2 linked regions of the Drosophila melanogaster genome follow. The gene in region 1 interacts genetically with each later gene. Each region holds a gene or a part of one and is shown in the gene's direction. Other genes may lie near its edges.

The links.
Region 2: of CG11893 (region 1) and ap, changing one enhances a phenotype caused by changing the other (phenotypic enhancement), as found in Drosophila melanogaster (one study listed by BioGRID).

What each region holds. Positions count from the first base shown.
Region 1 is NT_033777.3:25,287,734-25,291,665, forward strand, and holds CG11893 (uncharacterized protein), read left to right. Parts: upstream 1-2,155; 5' UTR 2,156-2,193; coding exon 2,194-3,259; intron 3,260-3,322; coding exon 3,323-3,507; 3' UTR 3,508-3,633; downstream 3,634-3,932. Other genes in the region: CG13658 (uncharacterized protein), read left to right, coding at 1-306, 365-893, 959-1,143; CG31098 (uncharacterized protein), read right to left, coding at 3,763-3,932.
Region 2 is NT_033778.4:5,724,773-5,728,704, reverse strand, and holds the start of ap (apterous), read left to right. Parts: upstream 1-1,872; 5' UTR 1,873-2,845; coding exon 2,846-2,884; intron 2,885-3,932. UniProt on the Drosophila melanogaster protein: Required for the normal development of the wing and halter imaginal disks.

The sequences.
Region 1 (3,932 bases):
CCGGAACAGGAAGGTCACAAAAAGGATATGCTGTCAAATTCGCCGATATTCAAAACGGAGATCTTAATGTACAGCAAAGCTCTTCCAGAGCTCGAGAGAATTCTCCGGGAGGCAGGGGATACTACCAAGCTCTATGCGCCTTGTATCTATCACAGCTTGGAACCTCATCAGGTGATGATATTCGAGGATCTGGTGCCACAGGGGTACACCGTCATCCGAGATCGTTATCCTAATAAAGAAGAACTTCAGAAAGCCTTCTTCAAGTTGGCAAAGTGGCATGCAGCCAGCATGAAAGTTTTAAATGAGGTGAACTAGTGCACCATCCATTGCAAAAGATAACAAAGTAAGAACTTTTCTTTTCAAGCGACCTGACTTTCTTAAGGAATTTAAGTATGGGTTATGGGGCATGCCCAACTTTCTGAACGATTCTATAGTGACAACTGGAGTACCCTGTTTCCTGGAAATGTTAGACAAGGTTCCGGAACTCACGAAATATAAGCCGTATTTCGAAAAAATAAAGGATAACTACATTCAGCAGATGAGTGCAGTCATGGAAGAATATCGCACTAATCCGAAGCCAAATAGGTACTACGTGCTGTGTCACGGGGATTTTCATGGGCGCAACATGATGTTTAGGTATAACAAGGAAACAGGGTCTTTCGAGGACGTAATGCTGGTGGATTTCCAGATCAGTAATGTTTGCCCCCTTTCCATTGACCTAATTTACTCCATCTTCATGGTAATGGATACGGAGGATCGTTGGGATCTTGGAAAGGAATATATCAATTATTATTTCTCTGTTCTGGCGGACACTCTGAAAAAAATAGGCTTCAAAGGTGAAATGCCAACTCAGACAGGAGTGTGGGAGCATATTCATGGCCATAAGGATTACGGTAAGGAACTAAAATTGAAAGACAGCTGTTGACTTGTATGCTTATTCCTTGTTACATCGTTATAGAATTCTTCATGATGACCAGCTTTCTACCCCTGGTGGCTGCCATGAATACGAAAACATTTAAAAGTATGGATTCATTTTTTGATCCGCAAACGAAACAAAAGTCTTTCTTTTTGGATGAATACATTACGGATGTCAAGATGCTATTGCGAAAATTCGAAGAACTGGGATATTTTAAAGATCTTTAATCCGATTGTATAAAATTAATTGAAATAAAAAAATAACTTCACATTTACCTACATAATTGCACTCGTTATTAACAAACATATACGTGTAAAGTTGCATGCATTCAAGGTAAAGTTCTTTCCCGCTATTGATTTCGAAATTCTAAAAGAAACATTTAAAACATACATTTATTATTTTATTGCTTATATATATTTACTGAAATCCGTTTCTTGCGTTTACCAAATATGTATATTATTATTATAAATAAAATCTTGGAATTTGTTTTATTAATATTGCTGACATCATCATGACTTCACATCATGACGGATAGGGCTGTTAAATTATAAACTTAAAGTTGGCAATGTGTCATTCAGTAATCAAAAAAGTCATTATCCTAATCATGTTCGGAACACGATGTTAAAGAATAGAACAAGGAAACAGAGGTCTTTGTGGCAGTAGTGATTTCAAGATCAGCTACACATATGCGCTCCAATACCATTGTCCCAATTTACTCCAACATCAAACTGAAAAAAGTGGGCTTCAGGGAGATATGTTCCCTTCCAGGAATCTAAAAGCATATCCATGGCCATAAGGATTACGGTCTTACGTCTTACATTCTGTCAAGATGCAGTTTCGAAAATATAGTTATAGTGAAACAACATAGTTATTTTGAAAATCTGTATCACGATTGTATAAAATCGGGCAAACTTGAATTTAATTCGTCTTCAAACATTTGATAATCCAGTAAGCTGGACTAACATTAAACATTTTTAGCGTTTTATACTTCTTACACCTGACCTAAATATTATTTCATAGAACAGAATAAATATCTGATTTATTTGTAAGTTTCTATTGATCACAGTATTTGTCCTGTAGAACAGATTTCAATGCATATTGATAAGATCATTGAGTAGACGTATTTCACACAAAATCGAAAAGTTTCGTGTTAAAAGGTTCAAGCCGCTTTCGAAAGCTCACTTAGCCAGCCTTTATAATAAGTGGGCACATAGGAAGGTTTAGTATACCCAGATCAAACATCATTCCGAATTGTTTGTTGAGAGCGCGAAATAAAAATGCCAGAAAACGCAGATACCGAGCAATTTAATGCCGATGAGCTGGAGGCTCCTGCATGGCTGAATGCCCAGTTTATTACTGACGTTCTTAGAACCTACGAAAAGTGTCCGGAACTGGAGGTTACCGATCTTAAAATCACTCCGGCGAGTGCCCAGGGAGATCACTACGCAAGCGTAATGTTCCGTACTACTGCTGAGTATACCACTTCGAAAGGAAAGTTCTGTAAGCCGCTAATCATTAAAACGATGCCAGAACAAGAAGGACACAAGAAGGATATGCTTAGCGACTCACATTTGTTCTCCACCGAGATTAATGCTTACACTAAGGCTCTGCCCGAATTCGAGAGAATTCTCCGGGAGGCAGGCGACGATACAAAGCTATTTGTGCCCTGTATCTACCACAGTCTAGAGCCTCGGCAGGTGTTAATATTCGAGGATTTGGTGCCGCAGGGATACTTCGTGATCCGAGATCGTCCAATAAACATGAACGAATACAAAAATGTTTTCTCCAAACTGGCCAAATGGCATGCTGTTAGCATGAAAGTCTTGAATGAGCAACCTGATATCTTGAAAGACTTCAAGTATGGGCTAATGGAAATGCCTTCTATTATGTCGGATCCAATGGTTACTACTGGAATGGACAACTTTTTGAAAATGATGGACCAGATTCCTGAACTTACAAAGTACAAGCCACACTTTGAGAAAATAAAAGAGAACTACATACAGCGTATGGGTGATGTAATGCAGGAATATCGCAAGAACGTTCAATCCGATGGATACTACGTGATGTGTCACGGAGATTTTCATGGCCGAAATATGATGTTCAATAAAAATGAGGAGGTCATGTTTGTAGATTTCCAAATCTGTAACCTGTGTCCCATTACAATCGATTTGAGTTATTCTGTGTACATGCTCATGGAGCCAGAGCAGCGATGGGATCTCGGAAAGGATCTTATTAACTTTTATTTTTCGGTTTTGGAGGACACGTTAAAAAAAGTTGGCTACAAGGGCAAGATGCCGACCAATGATGGTCTGTGGAAGCAAATACACCGACACAAGTTTTATGGTAAGTGCCTATTTTATTTATCGCCTAGTTTCAATAAGCCTAACCACTTCAATATTTTTACAGACTTCTTCCTTTTAACCACTTTTTCGCCAATGATTGTGGCCGTTAAAGCGAATACGTTTAAAATACACGAGTTAATTCAAGATCCGGAAATCAGACAAAAATCATACCTCTATGACCCTTATGTTCAAGATGTCAAAAAGCTTTTGGGTAAATATGAGGAAATGGGATACTTTAACGATCTTTGATCTATTTTTAAAGCTATCAGTTAAAATGTGTATATATTGCATGGCTAATTGATCGCAACTATATGAACCATGTAATTTTTTAGGGTTTCCTTTTGCTTTAAATTAAATAACAAAACGTATCATCAAATTAAATTTTTCTTTTTTTTTAATTTGGGTGTAAAATACTCATGGAATATTTGTCTGGAAAGCTTACTGTATGTGGAAGCCCGAATACTTTTGATCGAATGTAACGCAATCTTCATTAGCCCTTTGTCACTATTCATCCAAGAATCCAGATAGCTCGAATTCTTTAATAGTTCGCTGAAGGAAAGCCCGATACTTGGGGTTTTCAACATTTTCCCGGCGGAAACGATCACCGCTCTCAGTGCGTGAGTTCAGATCCTCAAGGTTTTCGAAACCAGCTCCCTCCCTGAAGATCAGTGGAG
Region 2 (3,932 bases), on another chromosome or scaffold:
TCTAAAAACTTCAAAAGTATCGGAGTGACTCGAACTACATATTTTTAGTATTTCGTTAGATGTTGACTAAAGAAAACTTAACTGCCACGAATTCAGTATACCCTTATTACGTATTGTAGAGTAGAATTCTAACAGAGGGATGAGATGGTTATATTTTCTAATAATCACATAACATGATTAACGTTTATTATACATAAATCTACAATTATTAAAGATCAAATCGGTTTATACACCAATGTTTTACCAATGATTACTGTTACCGTTATTTTGTCCTTATGTGCCCATCTCTTATAATGTATTAGTATATTTTACGCACTTTTGTAAGATGGGCCTGTTTACAATAAAAAAAGATGTAAAATTTAAAAGAATCTATAAACAAATTATTATGAGGCACTGTACCAATTATAATGGTCTGAAAATACTGCATGTATTCGCATTTACTCTTGTCAATATTAAAATCATGAGAATTCAGCTGTGTATATTCGTAAGGAATAAGGACCCAAAATCTGTGCCGACGTCCACAACCAATCCACCCAATCAGTTCCGACTTAACCGGGGTTCTTTGAAAGCCCTCTTAAGTCAACAAGCAACAATAGCAACAACGAGGTGAAACATTTTGCCCAAAAATAAAGTTAAATGCGAAGGCTAAGTCGCACAAACATTTCAAATACGTAATACATGTTTTAAAACTTTCTGCGAAGAGTTCAAAAAGCAGCGGCGAACTTATGTATGTAACAGCAGAAGTATATTAACAATTACACTTAAAAAAATTTCTTTTTCAACGATTGAATCAACGTAAGCTGGTTGAAATTCTGAAAATGCATTGCAGTTAATGGCAAATATTTTACATTATTAAAATGTAACCGTAACCTCAACCAAAACTTGCCAAATATATGTAAGTTACAACCGGCAAAACACTCAAAATGTCAAACATTTGTGGAATCATAGTGAATGCATACCACAAAAGCTGAATATTTATAGCTGTAACTGCAATAAAAGTATTTAACGTTAAATCTGCTCCCTAAGCCATTTGGAGATTTGTGTGCACTTTGTTTCAAGCTTGTGCGGAATTAAAGGAGAAGTGACAGCAAGGTTCTATGATGACAGTTCTTATTGGAAGCAGGCGACAACTTGGGCGTAGTGCTGGTAGCGTTTGAACTGGTTGAGAATTATAAATACACCTGTCAAACGAACCTATATTCTTTCAACATTTATAGCGTCAGCATACGAAAACACAATAAATAGCTCTCAGTAAGTTAGTTACAACTTTTCTGCATGATGTTTTCAGCATGAAGACGGCATATATAGACACCATGCATCTTTTCATTACACAACTAAAGAATCAGCAGAGTCAACCGAAGACCCGCTGGTGTGAGAGTTCGTTCCCCTGTGCGTCCTCAGACCACTGTTCGTCCTCTGCGAGTTGGAATTCCTGTCACGGACTCCGCTCGCAGCTTCCAGTTCGAGTCTGGAGTCCATCCTCATTCATGTGGCGTCTGGCGCACAGCTTATACTCCTCCTGACTGCTGCTACCGCTGCCTTATTCACGTTTTGCAGCCGGCCAACTGTCCGGTGGGCGGTGCGTGGGGAGGCGATTTCGGCTGGTGCGAGAGCGCGGATAGAACACCACGCCCTCTTCGTCTACTGGCTGTGCTCTAGAGCGGGAACGAGCTACTGACGCTATCAGCTGAGAGCGCCGCCATTTGCCACTACGTGAGAGCTGCGGAATGAGCGTGTGTGCAAGCAGGATGGCAGCTCATGCGCGACATCGCACTCACTCACACTGGCGCGCGCACATCACGCACGCAAACACACGGCGAACGGGGCGGTGGAGTTTTTTGGCTTCTGGCGCTGCGCTCGCACAGCGTCCAAACATTCCCAGTTTTTCAGCTGCGACGGCTGGTTGTCCTCACGATTTTGAGTAGATCAGCTGCAGACCAAAGTCGGTAGTCGAGTTTCGAATTTGAGTCGGTTTTTGTTTTTGGAAGCGGTGCGCGTATTCGATTTTTGTTTTGACTTGAGCTCGGCTGTAGTTTCGGTTTGCCAGAACTGGATCGAAGGAGAATCGACACAGAAACAGGGAGTTGGCGAAACGGATACAAAACTGAAGTTGGATCGGTAATCGCCTGCCCGGTCATAAACAACAACACAAGGGAGCACAGCCGCATACGCATACGCGCCTCTGTCTCTAATGCCTTATCAGTAACAGGCATCGTCGAGTGTCGTAGGAAGAGCCCGACAAAGGCCGACCTTTACCACTCAATTTGGATCTGATGTGCCATTCTCGCGCTGTCTCGTAAATTAATGTCATAAATTAACTTTAGATTTCTTACGCTAACCGGTGGTCGTCAGCGGTCCGAAAACGCCTTTGCGCTCGAGATACAGGGGCGGTTTCTAATCAATACAAATATCCTACCTGCCGCCGAGTCAAGTGTTTTAGTGAGTGTGTGACCCTATGTTCCTTATATTACCTTGGTGCTAAGGAGAAAGTTTAAAAAAAGCGGCATTCAAATCGTAGTTTGTGCAATAAGAAAAGGCAAGCCAATGGTGTCAATCTCTAAGACAACGCCGAAGTGATGCATGTCCGCAAAGTAATAGATCAAGTTGTGCGCACACTTATTACCGGCGAGCCTAGCCGGGCATCTAATCGTGGCCAGTGTCAAGTGTCCAATAGCACATCTAGCCGGGGTGTAGAGGATTACCCAAGACCAACGTAGCACCGCAGCCCTTTTAAGGAGGCATAAGGCTCGCAAGACACAACGCACAGCCTACACAACGACAAACATAACACGACCGACGGACATCATCCTTGGAAATAGACCTCGTGTCATTCCAAAAGACGCACATGGGCGTCTGCACCGAGGAGCGCCCTGTGATGCATTGGGTAAGTTCTGCCGCCGTAGCACATAAAATCCAAAGTTACCAGCGATAAGACTAAAAAATAAGTCATCCACCAGTCCGTCCCAGCTCACCCAAACTCTGCCCTTTGTGATTAATATTGATCCGAGCCTGGGTTACTCGGAGTTATCAATACCAGACTGAAAGCTTGCCTATCAACAGACAGCCCCACTCAATATCGATAAGAAAGCCGCTTGGGCATTTCAGATTAAAAACAGTTCCCAGAAGTGTTCAATCAGTGGCTAGTTCGCTCGTTGAAACATTGCTGTAGAACGCGGTTACAAAATTTCAATGTGATTCCCTGCCTTAATTTTTATTCATCTAACTTAGGTTAGAATCATTTAATGTTTAAGAAGGCAGATTTTTGATGATAGTCGTACTAATCAATATACAATCAAATTGGGCGGCATAGTCGTGCAAAAAAATTAATAGATATGTAGAAATCAAAATACAGGTAAAACAAATATGTACGTTTTTACGAAATTTTTGTATATATCTGATATTCGACGCGAACGTATTCAGTTTTAGAGAATAATCACCGTGTGCCAATATATACCAATTTGATATATTTTAATAGTAGTCAATTGACCTTCAAATACTAATTTTTAACGCGAATAAGGCATTTTCTACCACACAGAGATATTCTTGTACCATTTTTTTGAAAAGAACGAATTGCCTTGATGAGTTACATGAACATCTTTTACCTATTTTTGATTTTGTCATTTTTAATTGCTATTCCTATTTTGAAACATAACGCATTCCTTATACTTTATGCAAACAATTTTTTGTTACTTTACAACTTTGGTGTTTGAAATCTGTGTGTTTGTTTTAATTCCCATCTTTTGTATGTTTTCCAAATGTCATCGATTACTGTAAATCGAGATGTACGAGTATTCGAATTCTAGTCTATATATACCACATCTATATATTGTACAAGAATTGTATAAGATTGTATTGTATAAGAATAGGAAAATCGTAAATAAATTGGAAGAGTAAAATGGTATGAAACATTCGTTGAAAAGTATGTAACAGAC